2 linked regions of the Arabidopsis thaliana genome follow. The protein of the gene in region 1 interacts with the protein of each later gene in a biochemical or structural test. Each region holds a gene or a part of one and is shown on either strand. Other genes may lie near its edges. The genes, in order: EIF3E and FUS5.

The links.
Region 2: the proteins of EIF3E (region 1) and FUS5 form a complex in vitro, tested with the Arabidopsis thaliana proteins (one study listed by BioGRID).

Annotation. Positions count from the first base shown.
Region 1 is NC_003074.8:21,192,959-21,201,166, reverse strand, and holds EIF3E (eukaryotic translation initiation factor 3E), read left to right. Parts: upstream 1-1,847; 5' UTR 1,848-2,093; coding exon 2,094-2,313; intron 2,314-2,411; coding exon 2,412-2,566; intron 2,567-2,674; coding exon 2,675-2,902; intron 2,903-2,991; coding exon 2,992-3,113; intron 3,114-3,433; coding exon 3,434-3,653; intron 3,654-3,732; coding exon 3,733-3,875; intron 3,876-4,071; coding exon 4,072-4,209; intron 4,210-4,281; coding exon 4,282-4,381; 3' UTR 4,382-4,650; downstream 4,651-8,208. Other genes in the region: INO80 (DNA helicase INO80-like protein), read right to left, coding at 1-35, 167-599, 721-1,099, 1,204-1,291, 1,496-1,555; AT3G57280 (Transmembrane proteins 14C), read right to left, coding at 5,620-5,716, 5,805-5,845, 5,926-5,972, 6,233-6,400, 6,507-6,735, 7,109-7,207; BG1 (beta-1,3-glucanase 1), read left to right, coding at 8,049-8,118. UniProt on the Arabidopsis thaliana protein: Component of the eukaryotic translation initiation factor 3 (eIF-3) complex, which is involved in protein synthesis of a specialized repertoire of mRNAs and, together with other initiation factors, stimulates binding of mRNA and methionyl-tRNAi to the 40S ribosome.
Region 2 is NC_003070.9:383,719-391,420, reverse strand, and holds FUS5 (Proteasome component (PCI) domain protein), read left to right. Parts: upstream 1-1,612; 5' UTR 1,613-1,852; coding exon 1,853-2,011; intron 2,012-2,119; coding exon 2,120-2,195; intron 2,196-2,282; coding exon 2,283-2,371; intron 2,372-2,480; coding exon 2,481-2,570; intron 2,571-2,660; coding exon 2,661-2,705; intron 2,706-2,811; coding exon 2,812-2,882; intron 2,883-3,014; coding exon 3,015-3,153; coding exon of another isoform or gene 3,154-3,198; exon of another isoform or gene 3,199-3,748; coding exon 3,749-3,837; intron 3,838-3,917; coding exon 3,918-3,942; 3' UTR 3,943-4,144; downstream 4,145-7,702. Other genes in the region: SBI1 (Leucine carboxyl methyltransferase), read right to left, coding at 158-205, 298-418, 557-659, 857-938, 1,022-1,069, 1,171-1,384, 1,478-1,545; AT1G02080 (transcription regulator), read right to left, coding at 4,739-4,993, 5,088-5,288, 5,378-5,512, 5,604-5,708, 5,798-5,989, 6,097-6,250, 6,452-6,513, 6,581-6,727 and 3 more. UniProt on the Arabidopsis thaliana protein: Component of the COP9 signalosome complex (CSN), a complex involved in various cellular and developmental processes such as photomorphogenesis and auxin and jasmonate responses.

The sequences.
Region 1 (8,208 bases):
GCTTTCAGCTTCTTCGGTAGACTTCGTTTAACAATCTGAAGAAAGGATACATAAAACAATGTCGGAACAAAAAGATAATGTTGTTAATAAAGCCATGAATGAGCCATGAATGAGCCATGAAGGATTCAAAACTATGATTCATAAAATACTGCCACAGAATCCAAACCTCGTATGTATCCCCCTTCTCCAGAATCTTCACGTAATGGACCTGTAAAACACCACCCTCAGACAGAATTGTCCGTGCAGTACTTCCAGCAGATCCTTCTGGAATGGCAGAATTCATTGCAGCTTCTGACACCTTGAGGCTAAAATTTGGGGTGGAGTTTGAAGGTGACAGGGCCTTCATTCTAGCTTGAAGAGATTCATATTGAGGTCGAGGCTCACCCATTCCATTACGGCTTCTTACTCCAGACCTTTTATCACTTGCCATCAGTTCTGCTAATGATCTCAGATCCAGAGTTCCTTTCAAGTAAAATTCTTCCACATGAATGTCTGAAAAGCTCGGTAAGTTTAATGATGCCACCAGCTTGTCATAACTTGGGGGGATTTTGTAGATGACACCATCACCAATGTCCAAATACGAAGGTTCATATGCTATCCTGCAAATGATGCAAAATTCAACGTGTCAATCTAGGAAACCCAACACCGTAAGTTATCTAAGCGGATTACACAGGGTTACACGGATCCCATGGAACATGAAAAAACATATGATCAACATACTTGGGTGTAATATCACGATCATGGTAGCTTCCTCGCCTATGTGGGGTCACATCAGCTGCAAAATTTGGAGAGTTGTCCATGTCATAGAACCTCCCATGGTAATCATTCCCTGGTTTCCTACCTCTGTAACTGCCCACATTGCTCTTTAGCACCGGAAAACCCATCAGATGAGGAGGATTCCCTTGAGTCTCCTTGGACCTATTTTTGAATTTTTGTACATGCTCCCCAAGCATTGATCGGTAGTGCTCCTCAGTAACATGTTGATTGTAGAGATCATCATCGTCCTCTGCATCCTCAGCTTCTGTCCACCGCTTTCTCTTCTTGGAGCTCGCATTCATTCTCGATTTAGACCCATTGCTGTAGTTTGCCACTACCCCACCTTTAACCATTACCAACCATATAGACAGAACACAGATAAACGTCACTTAAAACTATCACAGTAGGTGGCAAAAGTAATTCCATAAAACCAATTAAAAACTGTACCTTGAGTGCTTCTACTTTCATCCTGGCTACTACTCCCATAATAATCAACTTCATCTTCAGGTTTCGGAATTCTAAACTTCATCAACGGCTGCAAGAATGAAGAATTTAGCCACAAAACCCACACTGAATTTCAACAGTAAAACAAAAACACACTGTAGAAACAAGGAGAAGCTATACAATTGCAAGATTTCCAATCACCAAAACTACATTCATCACAGTCACATGATCATCATCCAACAAGTACAAACCATCAATTTCAAGGAAATCACAAAAAAATTGAGACCTAACAGACCTCGAGATCGAATAGATTCGCGTAAGGAGAGTCCTTCGGTGGTCGTCTTGAAGGATCCATGAGAGACGGGAAGAGAATAACACGGCGTCAAAATTTTGGAGAGTCTTAATCCTTAAAAGCTTCTAGACAGAAACATTCGTCACGAGAAAGAAAAAGAGTTCGTCTCGAAGAAGAACCCTAATCCAGTATGATAGAGGAAGAGGGCGAAAGGTTAAAGACGAACATGCGCAAGTTAGTGGACACAGGCGGTACAGAAAGAAGTCCAGACTACTAACATACGCCAAACGAATAAAGCTTCTTACCGTGCGCCTCTCCACAAAAAACATTTAATTATTATTTTTTCTTAACCCCTCCGGTACCGGCCGATCAGATAACGACGGCTAAGTTATCGTTTTGGAGATAAAAATACCTTGTGGGGTAAACAACAATATATAAGAAGTAAAGGGGCGAATTTATAAATATTGAAAGCTCATATTCGAGAAAACCCTAATTTCAATATACAGGATTTTTTACCTCGTCGTCTCTGAAACTTCATCTCTGCCGTCTTAAGAAGATTTTGCCAGTGCGGGAAGCGGCGGAGATTGAGAGATTAGCGACGATGGAGGAAAGCAAACAGAACTATGACCTGACGCCACTAATAGCGCCTAACCTGGACAGACACTTGGTGTTTCCTATATTCGAGTTCCTTCAAGAGCGTCAGCTTTACCCTGATGAGCAGATCCTGAAGTCTAAAATCCAGCTTTTGAACCAGACGAACATGGTTGATTACGCCATGGATATTCACAAGAGTCTCTACCACACTGAAGACGCTCCTCAAGGTATTCTTGTGTATTCCTCTCTGGATATGTCTGTGAATTTGCGTTTTTGTGTACTGGTTTGTTTGTTTGATGATGAATGTTGAAATTTGTGGTGATAGAAATGGTGGAGAGAAGAACAGAGGTTGTCGCTAGGCTCAAATCTTTGGAGGAGGCTGCTGCACCACTCGTGTCTTTTCTTTTGAACCCTAACGCTGTGCAGGAGCTAAGAGCTGACAAGCAGTACAATCTCCAAATGCTCAAGGAACGCTACCAGGTTGTGATTTGGATGATTAAGTTGTTTAATTTTGTGAAATGTTATCCAGATTTGGTTTTGTTTGTGTATTGTGGAACACAAATCTTATATGGCTTGGTGTCTTATCAGATTGGTCCAGACCAGATTGAGGCTTTGTACCAGTACGCCAAGTTTCAGTTTGAATGTGGCAACTATTCTGGTGCTGCTGATTATCTTTACCAGTACAGGACCCTGTGCTCTAACCTTGAGAGGAGTTTGAGTGCCTTGTGGGGAAAGCTCGCATCTGAAATATTGATGCAAAACTGGGATATTGCTCTTGAAGAGCTTAACCGTCTCAAAGAGATTATTGACTCAAAGGTTAGTATTTAAAACTTCTTCTAGTTTGCGACCTTTGAAATCAATATAGATGTGAGAGTATATATGCTAACTACCATTTGTTTTTTCAGAGTTTTTCATCGCCGTTAAACCAGGTGCAGAACAGGATTTGGTTGATGCATTGGGGTCTGTATATCTTTTTTAACCATGATAATGGAAGGACACAGATCATTGATCTTTTTAACCAAGACAAGTAAGCCTCTACCTCTCTGTTATCTGCATCTCTTCTTTATACCTTTCATCACCATCTATTTCCTTGCGTTTTAAGATAAGCATGATCTAGATGCGATGAAGTTATGTATAGGTGGTGTTTGTGTGTAGAACTTTGTTTATAGTTAATGTTAGTCCTGATGTGCCTACAAGTAATTAGCAGTCACTAGTTTTAGAGTCTTCTCCTTCTTTTCATCCAGACCTATTCTTAAGATTGTGCTTTGTGTATGGGCATTTGCTGAAAAATAATTCACTTTGTTTTCATGCTGCAGTTCTGTATACTAATTTGATTTACTTTTTCAGGTATCTGAATGCCATCCAAACTAGTGCTCCACACTTGCTGCGCTACTTGGCAACTGCTTTCATTGTCAACAAAAGGAGAAGACCACAATTGAAAGAATTCATTAAGGTCATTCAGCAAGAGCACTACTCCTACAAAGATCCAATTATCGAGTTCCTGGCATGTGTGTTTGTCAATTATGACTTTGATGGGGCTCAAAAGAAGATGAAAGAGTGTGAAGAGGTAACTCATCCACATGTATAGATATTTTTGTTTGTGCAGAACTGTGCAATCAATACTCTGACATTTTAACATGATGTAGGTCATTGTGAATGATCCATTCCTTGGCAAGCGAGTTGAGGATGGAAACTTTTCAACTGTACCACTGAGAGATGAATTTCTTGAAAATGCCCGCCTATTCGTCTTTGAAACCTATTGCAAAATTCATCAAAGGATTGACATGGGGTAAGTTCTCACATTTGGTTGTATATGTTTACACATAACTCTGCTCTCCGGATTGCTCAATGTTTGGAATTTTCTCTATTCCTTATCTTTCCCAACACATGAAAATTGCCATATCCAGCTATTTAAGTTGAGAAGAATTGTTGCGGTCTTGTGGTTTAACTTTGTACTCATGTCGAGCCTATATTTCCCTTGTCAGGGTACTTGCTGAAAAATTGAATCTGAACTATGAGGAGGCCGAGAGATGGATTGTGAACCTAATCCGCACCTCAAAGCTTGATGCCAAGATTGATTCTGAGTCAGGAACTGTAATCATGGAGCCTACTCAGCCCAACGTGTAAGTAGAATAAGCTTAAATCTATGATATCATTCGTATTCTACAATCTAATCTTGTTTCCGCTTTATGCAGGCATGAGCAGTTGATAAACCACACCAAAGGCTTATCAGGACGAACATACAAGTTAGTGAATCAGCTCTTGGAACACACACAGGCGCAAGCAACTCGCTAGTCAAAATTTTGCTGTGGAAGCCTTTCCTTGATAAAACTCACCTTCGGTTGACTGGAATTATTTTCTTTTTCTTGCTCTGAGTTCACCTTTTACTTTGAAAAAGATTATTATGGAGTTGTTCTATTTGAAATGTTGGATCCACAGATTGGAACATTTTCCAACCAAATCAGCATTTTGTATCCACCCTAAGCATTTAAAGGTTTTTGCAAGCCAACGTAAATTACTGCCTTACATTGAGCATCTCTGATTTGCGTAATAGTAAGTACAATAATAGCATATAACAGAAGTAAGAAAAACAAAACTTAAGAGTTAAGACTATGACAGTGGAAAGAACAGGTCACAAACAAAACAAGTATATCAATTCGTAAATAGTATAAAGTTACTCCAGAAGTCCAACTCGCCAGAGTCATCAAAAGAGAGAAGATAAATTCAATTTCTTTGGAGGTGGGTGCCCTCCAGAGAGTACCACATAAGAATAGAAACACAACATGCAATGGAAATGGCATATAGTGTGTTTTGATCTTTCCAGTGGATCTTTTGAAGCGAGTATGAAAATACCATTTACCACTGATGGTCGAGTTACTATAAGCAACATGAAGGACCGTTTGTGTATATCAGAGGGGAAGGACATGAAACAAGAGATATGGTCATTAAACTCTCGCAAGAAATGGGAGAAGACGTATTCGATTGATTTGAATAGAACTTCCATTTGGTGTCGCCGCCATCCGAATTTGCCAACAAAAACAATCACAACATTTCAGAAAAATAAGATTTTGCTTCATAATTGGAAGATAACTGGCCGTACTTTAATTATACATGATCCGGAACAAAATTCTTATGATTTTAGCTTTTAAATTTCAGCATAAAGGGGTTTCTAACTTTCTATCGCTTATTTCCCAAGTTTACTCACTGTATAACTGGTAGACGCATTATTTCTTATTATTGTTTCAGGATTGAGCTAGCAATAACTTTTCTATATTACTTATGTTTTAGTCTTCTTTCTTTATCTCTTTTTATTTATTTATTACTATGATATTCGAATATAGACAATCAAAGCATATCTCACAAATAAGAAAATCAAAACTTTAGATTATGACACTGGAAAGAACAGGTCACAAACAAAACCAAGTGTATCAATTCGTAAAGAGTATAAAATTACACCAGTAATCCAACAGACCAGAGTTATCAAAAGAGAGAAGATCTCCACTTTTTTAAATCTAAACCTATGTAAAGTCCCTTCAGTATGAAGGACTAGTCGCAGATGGTTTCAATTTCTTTGGAGGTGGGTTTCCTCCAGAGAGCACCACATATGAATAGAAACACAACATGCAAGCACTGCAATGAAAAAGACGTAAACACACGGTTACATGAATCCACGAAAGATCATCAGAATCTGTTGTAGATCACAAGACGTATTTCTTACCTGATGACAGCAAAAACCCCGGCCGGAAACAGCTTCTTAGTCTGCATAAGTACAACATTAAGCAGTTGAAGTCAAGCAAGCAAAAATAAACAATCAGCATGATCACAAAGATAATGAATACCATCGAATAAGCTGTGAAGTTCTTCCAGAAGACGACAGCTGAAAGCACTGCAATTTCAGGTTTAGAAAAATGAGTAAGCACAAATGCTTTCATAGATAAAATGAACATTTCTTATAGAGAATCATAGGCACATAATGTTCAGAGATGACCACTTCATAGCATGACACAGTATACTTATCTCGATTTTAATATCCACTTATCATGAGTAAGATACCAGTAATTACTTGATGTAATGAATTAGAGATGAAAAAAAGTCGTGGTAACAAAATATCCCCTACTGTTCCTGCAGACAATAAATGAAGATTACCTGCTTGTCCTAGTATATAAGGGAAACTAGATTTTCCCTCTCGCCAAATCTTTAAGCTCAGTGTACTAAGGGCTAGAAGGCCACCACCATAGAGGACACCAGTACTTAAACTTGTAAGATTTCGTGAAAACGCAAAACCAAGAAGCCCTCCACTCACAACGAGACCACCTGAAAAAGTATCATTTATTAACACCAGCGTGTTACCTGACAATAAGCAACTCTTTGCTAGAAATGCTAAGATTTGAAAGAAAGTTTGAGAGTCACAAAGTAGTACCATAAGGAATGCCGAAACAGAAGTCGTGGATCTTTGCTGCTCTTATTGGTTGTGTGGCAACATCTTCCTCTACTGGCTCTGTGATGCTCTCTTTATTGGTAGCAGTTTCATCAACAGTGGAATACGGTTTGGATGTTTTCTCAACAACAGGTTTTGAAACCTCAGCTGTATAGCTTAGAGAAGCTGGTGTTTCAGAGCTATTCCCATCAACACTTTTAACTACAAAAGACTGAACCAATTTATAGCCAATAAGCCACTAGTGGAGACACTATCAATCCCAAAAAATTTAGAAGAGAGCTCAACATATGATAATTAGCACATAGAGACAATCAAAAAGGTGAACAAAAAGGCAATTTTTGTTATTGAAGACATGGTACATTCCCAACCAACTCAACCAGAGAAAACAGAGAAGCAATTCAAGTCTCAAGGAGAACCATTTCTAGAAAACAAAAGCAAATATTCGATTACGACTAAATCAATCAAGCTCAAACGTTTTTGAGAGTAATCAGGAAAAGTAGAACAAATAGAGTATTGGGCATGGACGTAATCTAATCGAGATGAGTAAATTCCAAGTCTTTTTCATGCGATATCGAGATATTTACCTGGGGACGAATCATAGGGCATGGAAACGATCGGCTTTGGAAGTGAAATTGGCGATTGGTGGATGAGAAACAAGCAAGCTGAGAGATTTGTGAAGCCATCGTCCAGATCTGATACCGAAAAATTGGAAGTGAAAAGTCAAAAGGGAAAGAAATGGAGAATCGGAGCGTGGTCAGCACGAGAGATGGAGTGGTTGATCTAGCCGGCGTTCAGGACTGACTGACTAAAAAGACGATACTGATCGGACAATCTTGACCGTCCGCTCGTTTGATTTTGAAGTTGTTCGGTCAAAATGTTGCGAAGAAATTACGCGCATATGACAATTTCGGTTTAGTGTGGTTTAATCTTTGACTTTAGGGATCGGAGATGAGAAAAAACGAATCCATTTAATTATTTCGGTTTAGCTGGTTTAAGCTTAGGTTTCCTTTTTAGGCGGCTTTTAGCTTTCAAGTGGGCTCAGATTTGTCTCAGGTTCTTTATTGGGCTCATTTCGTTTAAAGACCATTAGTATTACTAGTAGTTTTGGTTAGCCCAACCAGCATTTGATTTTGTCTGAATTAAAGTTCTTTACTTGATTTCAACCACACCTTTAACGGCTAAGCCCTCATAAATCACACGCGTTGTTTGACTTGTGAGTGCACTTATGAAGAGTCAAGAAAGACAAATGTCTCTCTCTGTCTCTGATTATGTAGCTTACCATATATTACACCATTGTATTAATTATTCAGAGATTACCAACTCATTATTTTATCTTGTTGCCTAATTCCGTGTATTAATTTTAGTTTCATATTGACATTTTACATTTGGTTATATATTAATGTTCTTTCTCTAGAATTTACTATATATATTGTTTATGCTAGCTAGGATCAATGTCATAACAGTAAATGATTTCCACCTCGCTCTTAATTTTCTACAAATCATCTCTTTCTTCACCTAACGACGATGGATCTCCGATTCTTGGCGTCCTTGACCCTTCTTCTCGGTCTATTCTTCGTCAATACAAATCCAACAGGTCACTTAATACCTCTTTATTTCATTATGTATATAGAAAATATAACATGTGTGATTATATTATAATATCACCCTGACATAGAGTAATCAA
Region 2 (7,702 bases), on another chromosome or scaffold:
TTTAAATGAAGGTAATTGATCAGTACAACATGAACCCATGTGGCAATACTAGAATATTTTAGTGTCATACTAGTATCCATATTTTGACAAAAATCTCAAAAAAGCTTTACTAATGAAGATGTCGCTGTAACTAGAGTAGTAGAGTACACGTTCTTACCTCCAAATTTCTAATCATTTGATGCCCAAATGCATCATCTGGATGGATCTGCAAACAGAAACCCAACGGGTTAGACACATAAGCAATAAGATTCGTATCTGCAATATTATGCAGACAAGGAAAATCACAGTTGAGCTAACCTGCTCATATAAGAAAAATACTGCAGTTGAAAACGTTTTTGACGACCAATTGACGATGGCACGGCTTGAATCGGGGTCCAGATAAATCAAAACACATTCTGCAATAATAAACGTCGGCAGACTGATAATGATATTAGGGATCAAGTAGGTCTATCACCAGTAAGTATCTGTTACCATATATCTTAAACCCGGGTAGAAGAAGAGGGTTGAAGGTTCAAGATAACAGTGTGTAAAATAAATAAAAATTATTCATGGATACCTTAGATCCATATCTGCAAAGGATATAACATCTCTTAATTTTGGTATATCGCGCAGGTCAACTGGAAGTAACTTGTAATGATCACTGAGAACTTGTCCTTCGTCTGTAGAGATAAACAGCCCAACGAGTTAAGAGTAAGCAACTGAAACTAGACGCTAACGGTACAAAGTAAAAGGGGGTGGTTGAGTTAGTAGCTAGTAGAAGCGGAATGAAGAAAAATATGAGTGCACAAGCTGAAATGCATCATAATGAAAAGGATCATTCTACATAATAATACATGGGGGGAAAAAAGGCTCTTACCAATAGAAATAGATGCATTGGCTCCTAGTTTGTCCCTGAGTTGGCTGGAGTTTTGTATAACAGCAGCCTTCTTGCTAGTCACCTAACGTAAGAAGCAAATCCATTTAGGCATTAGACTCAAAACACATGATGGATACTTTTGTCAGCACGCTCATCCAGTAGTACCTCCTTAAAATCAAGTTCCACATAGAGATTGGGCCCATTCCCCTCATCCTACAAAATGAGAAGAGAAGAAGCGAGAGATCCCTGGAATAAGCCGAAGAATGGTGAATTTGGTAAAAGCTAACAAAAAGGAGAAGAAAAAGAAGACGCACCAGCAACTGAAAATAGGTAGTATCAAAGCCAGCTCCGAGAGACAGTATCTGTTTCTTAGAACTTGTCCCGCTTAGAAGAAACTGAGACATAAGCTTTCGGAAGGCAGCCCAACGGGAAAAGTAACCTCGATTAATGATGGGAGATCTTCGAACAGGTCTTTTCACAAAGAGATGAACATAGTCGTCTTTCATATATCCCTTTTTGACACAAGACCTTTAAAAATATTATCTAGGCTCAAAGATCCACAACAACAACAAAAAAAAAAGAAGAGCCCTAATTAAAGAAGAGAGAAAGAGGTAGGCGTACAATTTACTGGCGGATGCATCGTCGTTAGTAGCCTGAACCGCCGCTCTGTTGCTGCGAGATTCCGCCATCGTCGTCGCTCTCTCAGCCAAAATGAAGGAAGAAGAATATTCAATAGTCTCTCTCTTCCCCGGGATTGTTTGGGCTCACCAGACGCGGTTTCTAATATTTCTCTTAGTAGGCCTTGGCCCAGAAACTACGAAATTTGAGCCCAATTATTAAACAAGATTCTAGAAGAATTCGGTCGGTCACATAAAAAAAACAGTAATATAAAAACGGAAGAAGGAAGGAGCAGAGAGAAGAAGTTTGGGATTTTATTCGTTATTAGTGTGGTAAGAAAGAAAACCCTAAACCACCGGAAATCGATTTGTTTGGAAGATGGATATCGAGCAGAAGCAAGCCGAGATCATTGATCAGCTCGTGAAGCGAGCTTCTACTTGCAAATCCGAGGCTCTGGGCCCGCTCATCATCGAAGCCACATCGCATCCTTCTCTCTTCGCCTTCTCCGAGATTTTGGCTCTACCCAATGTTGCCCAGGTACTACTACTTTATGCTTTTCACGATCTAGGGTTTTACATGCTTTTGTTCTTCGCTGATCATAACAACTTGATAGATACTAGTAGCTGATTAATCGTAATTGTGCAGCTTGAAGGAACCACAGATTCTGTGTACCTGGATCTACTACGCTTGTTTGCCCATGGCACCTGGGGAGACTACAAATGTATGACCCCTTTGTCATATGCTATTTCAATTCGTTTTCCCTTTTGTCATATTCTCTCCTCTTGACTTGCTTTCATCGAAACACTAGGCAATGCCACCCGTCTTCCGCACTTGTCCCCTGACCAAATTCTTAAGCTTAAGCAGCTCACTGTCCTCACCCTTGCTGAGTCTAACAAGGTATATTTGTCTTAGGTTCATGATTTGCTCCTGCTATCTACTCTGTTCCATTATCTTTTTCCCCTGCTGTTTGCCTAACTGAATGTCTCTCTCACTCTGCTTGTTATAGGTATTGCCCTATGATACACTAATGGTCGAGTTAGATGTTTCCAATGTTCGCGAACTCGAGGACTTTCTTATCAATGAATGCATGTATGCGGTGAGTACTCTTTAGCAGTCTTCTAATCTCTATTTGACAACTAACTGTGACAACGCATGGTGCTCATTTTTTTTCTTTTACACTTTGCAGGGTATAGTTAGGGGAAAACTGGATCAGTTAAAAAGATGTTTTGAGGTGTGTTTTGGTTTGGGCCTCCTTTTCCTATTTTAACCATTGTGCTTTGTTTCTAAACGTACGAGCCCCCCCTTCTAAACATCATATATCTCTTGCAACCATGCAGGTTCCGTTTGCAGCTGGTAGGGATCTAAGGCCAGGTCAACTAGGGAATATGTTACACACATTGTCCAACTGGTAGTTTTCTTCTTCCCTTAGATCCAGGATTTTTTGCCTTCTATATCTAATTATAAGAACTTGTACGTGATGTTAGAATACATGGCTAATGACGTCCTACTCTTTTATGTGTTGGCCCAAATTGATGTCTAGGTTGAACACGTCAGAGAATCTGCTCATTTCAATTCAAGACAAGATCAAATGGGCGGACAATATGAGTGAGATGGACAAAAAACATCGTAAGGAAGCAGAAGAAGGGGTGGAAGAAGTGAAGAAGTCTCTGTCCATGAAGGTCAGTCGCGCTTGGAGTCCTATTGGCTTCACTTTTCCCTACTAAGTATATTATGTAACTAATATTGGTTACATTCTTTCTTGGTTACTGTCTTGTGACCATGAGTTAGAGTCCAGTCAGCTATTCTGTCTTATATTTCTTCAGAGAATTGTAGTGGGTTTCTTCTTATTAATAGCTTAGGTCTATGTAAGCGGGGATGGGAGAGACTTGATAAAAAAATCTTTCTAGGTCTTTGAGCTTTCCAAGTCCAGTCCTATCATAGATTAAAAAGTTATGTTTCTTAATAACAAACGAATCGATCAGCCAACTGTGGCGGGCTTTTTTAACCGTTCTTTCGTGGAACAAGAAATCTTACATGTTGGATGTAAACATATATTATGAAGTTTTCTTTAATTAAAAACAAACAAGGAACGCAATCACAACGGCTGTTAGTGAAGTGTTAAAGTCATTAGAGGACATGAATTGTTTGGAATGGTAGTACTTGGTTATTGTCTGATTGTTAAATGAAATGAAACAAGGTTCGTTTGGTTTTTTGTGTCTGAAATATGATTGGGAAGGGTGGTGGTCGATATAGTCTTACTTACGTTGTGGGCAGGGGGATGTTGACATCAGAGGGAATAAGGAGATGTTTGGGGAACCAAGTGGAGTGATGGACTACGAAGAAGATGGGATCCGACCAAAGAGGTAACGAATATTAGATATGAGTGAGATGATAAGTACAAAGGAGATGATATAACATACACACATTCAACTTTGGAACGCAGGAGGAGGCATCCTGTAACAAGGTAGAGGAGCAAGAGAGAGCAAATGGTCAGTGCGGATTGACATTCCATTTACCGAGAGTAGATTATGATTATTTGGTTGCGGATTTTCAACTTGTATAAGATCCTCTGTTCTCTCTCACAATAACCCCTTGTTATGTTTGATTTCCCTCATTAGCAAATTTGGTGTCTCTCTGCCCATTAAAAGAAAAATGGCTTTGAATTTAGTATTCAGTAATCAATAGTCTTGACACTTGAGCAAAGCTAGGCGCTTGGATCATATGGAATGATACAGATATTCTCAGTGTTCCGTCTTTTGACCACTAGCCAGCGCCTTGGCCCCTCACATGTTGAAACCTGCTTAGTCTGCGACAGCTGCCTCTTAGGCGGGCATGAAAGTGTTGTTTATTACGTCATCGACTAGATCCCACCATCGGAATTCTGACCGAAACATGTTCCTGAGAACGTTATACAAAGTACTAGTAGTCTAGTACTATATGATGACAATCCCTGCCGATTTCTCACACTCCCTCAGCATAATCATAATCTCTTTCAGTGTTTATGGTCATGTTTTATGACCATGAAAACACAATCCCCGCCGATTTCTCAAACATGTTTTCACCTAACTAATTCTCAAACAGACCCTTAAGAGCAAGGATAAAGGAATAATAGTGTTTTTTTTTTTTGTAATTAGAAAACATGTTTGTGAATCTTGAAGTTAAATAAATAAACTAAGACTCCTAAAATCTCTCCTACTGTATGTATAATTGTTACAACATAATATCAAAATACGCATACATATATACAAGTTGAAAGCTAAAGAGCTAGTGAGAATTGTCTGAGACCCAACCTCCCGAAACCATTCCCTCGTCGACAGGCTTCAGGCCACCACAGGATCTGGCTACCGATTCAAACAGCTTCTCAATCTCAGGCGCACATCTGATGAAGGCTTGTTTCCAGAAGCTATATCTTGGGTTCTTTATTAGCTCAATGAATGTGATTAGAAGTCCCCATGGATGTGGCCTGTTCACAATTAGCCGTTCCAACAGCACTCTAGTTATTTGCTCCTGTATGATCTCCTGTTTCATTCATCCCAAGAAAAAGAAAAAAAAAATCAGATTTCCATGCTCACTAATTTTTCCACACAACTCTTGACAAGCAAAGCAAACTCACCTGATCAGATTCGAAGAATAGATAGAGCATGATGAAAGAAAAGTAATGAGTGTGGTTGTTGGGGTATCGAAGCTGATTGGCGATTGCATTAAGGAACAGATACCGCCCTTCCGTATCAAGTTCCATACTTAAATACTTGAACATCTGCAAGGCCACAACATTTTGAGCCTGTGTCTCACCGGCCTGAAGCTGCTGAATAGCCTGTTATCGCAATGTCGGTTATTTGCATATATATATATATAATAAACTAGAAATCAAAAGAAAAGGCTGTATAGAAATTAGACCCATACCTGCATTCCAGTATATAGCACAAGCGAGTTGATCAATGGTACACTGTAACGGGTTCCAGCTGAACTAGCCTCGCTGGACGATAGAAGTAACTTTGTCTTCAACTCACTTAGGAAAGTTGAATTTTGCTGCCTCGACTGCAGAAAAATTATATGAGTATCTCTTGATATAATCTCAAGAATACCAAAGTGAATATAAGTAAATTGAAGAATCAGGTGTTCCCATTACCGTAAGATACTCATCCACGTCATTCTTCATTTGCTTTGCCTTTAGCGCAGCATCAACCTCAGAAAGGATACAGGGAGCTTCTACTATCTCAGGTAACAAATCAATCTGCAATGAACACGATAATTCAGCCTACAAGGAATATATTTTCTTTAAAATATGTTGAACATGCTGGAATCTCCACTATCATCTCGTACCTTTAAATTTGGGGTAGAAGGATCAGGAAGCCTCATGTTCCGTGGAAAAGAACTGAGGATAATATTCCGCATTTGTATGCAACTTGAAGGAATCACATCACAGAAAGTAAAATGATAATCACATAGGAACTCTGGGAAATCATGAAGCAGAACCAGTAATACTCTCAATGTCCCTTTGTATAGGAAATGAACCTACGCAATTAATAAACACACCAAAAAAGAGACCACTTTAAGTTACCATCGACTATATCCTTTAGTGTCCAATGCAAAACAATTACAGAAGAGAAAAAGGCACAAACCGGTCCTCCGAGTTCAGCATTTCTTAAAAATGGCTCAAGAAACTGAAGCAAGTCCACCAGCAGGCGCTGAACATATGGCCAACCCTTCTGGCCATTTACTGTAAGTAGTTTGGGCATGAAGCTTCTGTGGCTGACAAGTTCTAGCCATGCAAAACTGGAAAAATTTATAAAAACCTCAGTGGAGAAGAAAAAAAATGTATAAAACACGGATCACAGATCAAAGAAAAGAAGATACATATGTCAACAACATGAAATGTTTGACAACATAGGTATTTGACTGCCCTCAAATTTCCTGAGAGATTCAAATTTTTAAGTTTTAATAGAAGCACGGTGAGAAATAGGTTTGTGTCCTAACCTGAAAGCAGGAATCTTAAGAGGCTGCAATGCGTGGAAGGCGTTGGCAAAAGCTGTGAGAACCTGCAACAAAAGATTAATTAAAGTGATAACAATTAATAGCAGCTACTTCAAGGACAACAAAATGCACCTGAAAGTTTGCACCATCCGTCCCAGGATCCAGGGAACACAAGTCCAGTAGCCAGTTGATGAACAATCGGAAATATGGTTTAGAATTGAGTGATGTCTTTTTATCTTCTGCGTCCTTTTGAATAAATCTCACTGTGTCAGCCATGATCTGAAACAGGTAATCAATACCACTCACCTTTTCCATCCATTATAGTAGAAGTTAGATTTATTTCCAATAAGAGTATGTGTCCCCTTACCTCTGAAAGAAGAAATAACCTACTGCTAGACTCCTGCTCAGGGAAATACTGAACAGATTGTCATAAGAAACAAACAAAACAAAAAAAGCTTAGCCGGCAATGTATTTTGGGTATAATTATCCACGAAGAATGCAAAAAAAAAAATGAGCACTCTACCTTCAATATTGAAAAAACAAGCTTTGCATACATATCAATGATAAGGAATGATGGACTCTGAGGTTGCTGAGGAGATTGCACAGCACCGGAATTAATATCTTCAGAAGATATACAATGAGCAACAGAAAGTTCCTACAGAAAGGAAAGCCAAAATCAATAATGATGCCTCTCAAGATTTGAAAGTGCTGATGCTAAAACATTCTTAAAAGGTAAAATCACCAGAAGAATTCGGAAAAAACTCTCTGTTGTATCATCTCCCTTAAGTAATCCAGTCTGGTGCAAATGCAGGACATATTGTGAACATGCGGTTTCATTTGCACCAGGAAGTTCGCAGATTTGATACCAGTTTTTAAATAGCGTGGACACCTGCCAAACCATACAGAGGAAGACAAAAACAAGATATAAACAAGAAGTACGAGAGATGTATGTTCAAACATAAAACTGAAGAGATAACAAACTACAAACACATGTATCTAAATACATCGAATTAAAGTGAAAATTTAAAATCCATCTACAAGACAAAAATAAGGAAAAAAACATGCATACTGAACGAAAATAGCTTCATAGAAACGTTTGTTTTGAAATCCTTTTTGTAGCTTGCAAATTCATTGTGCTGATACAAACATTTTAGCTTTTGATTTACTCTTTTGCAAGTGAAAAATTTAGATATATGCAATTCCCAATCAACTTTTAAAAAAGAAAAGGTAGAGCTCTAAATCAATATAGAAGTT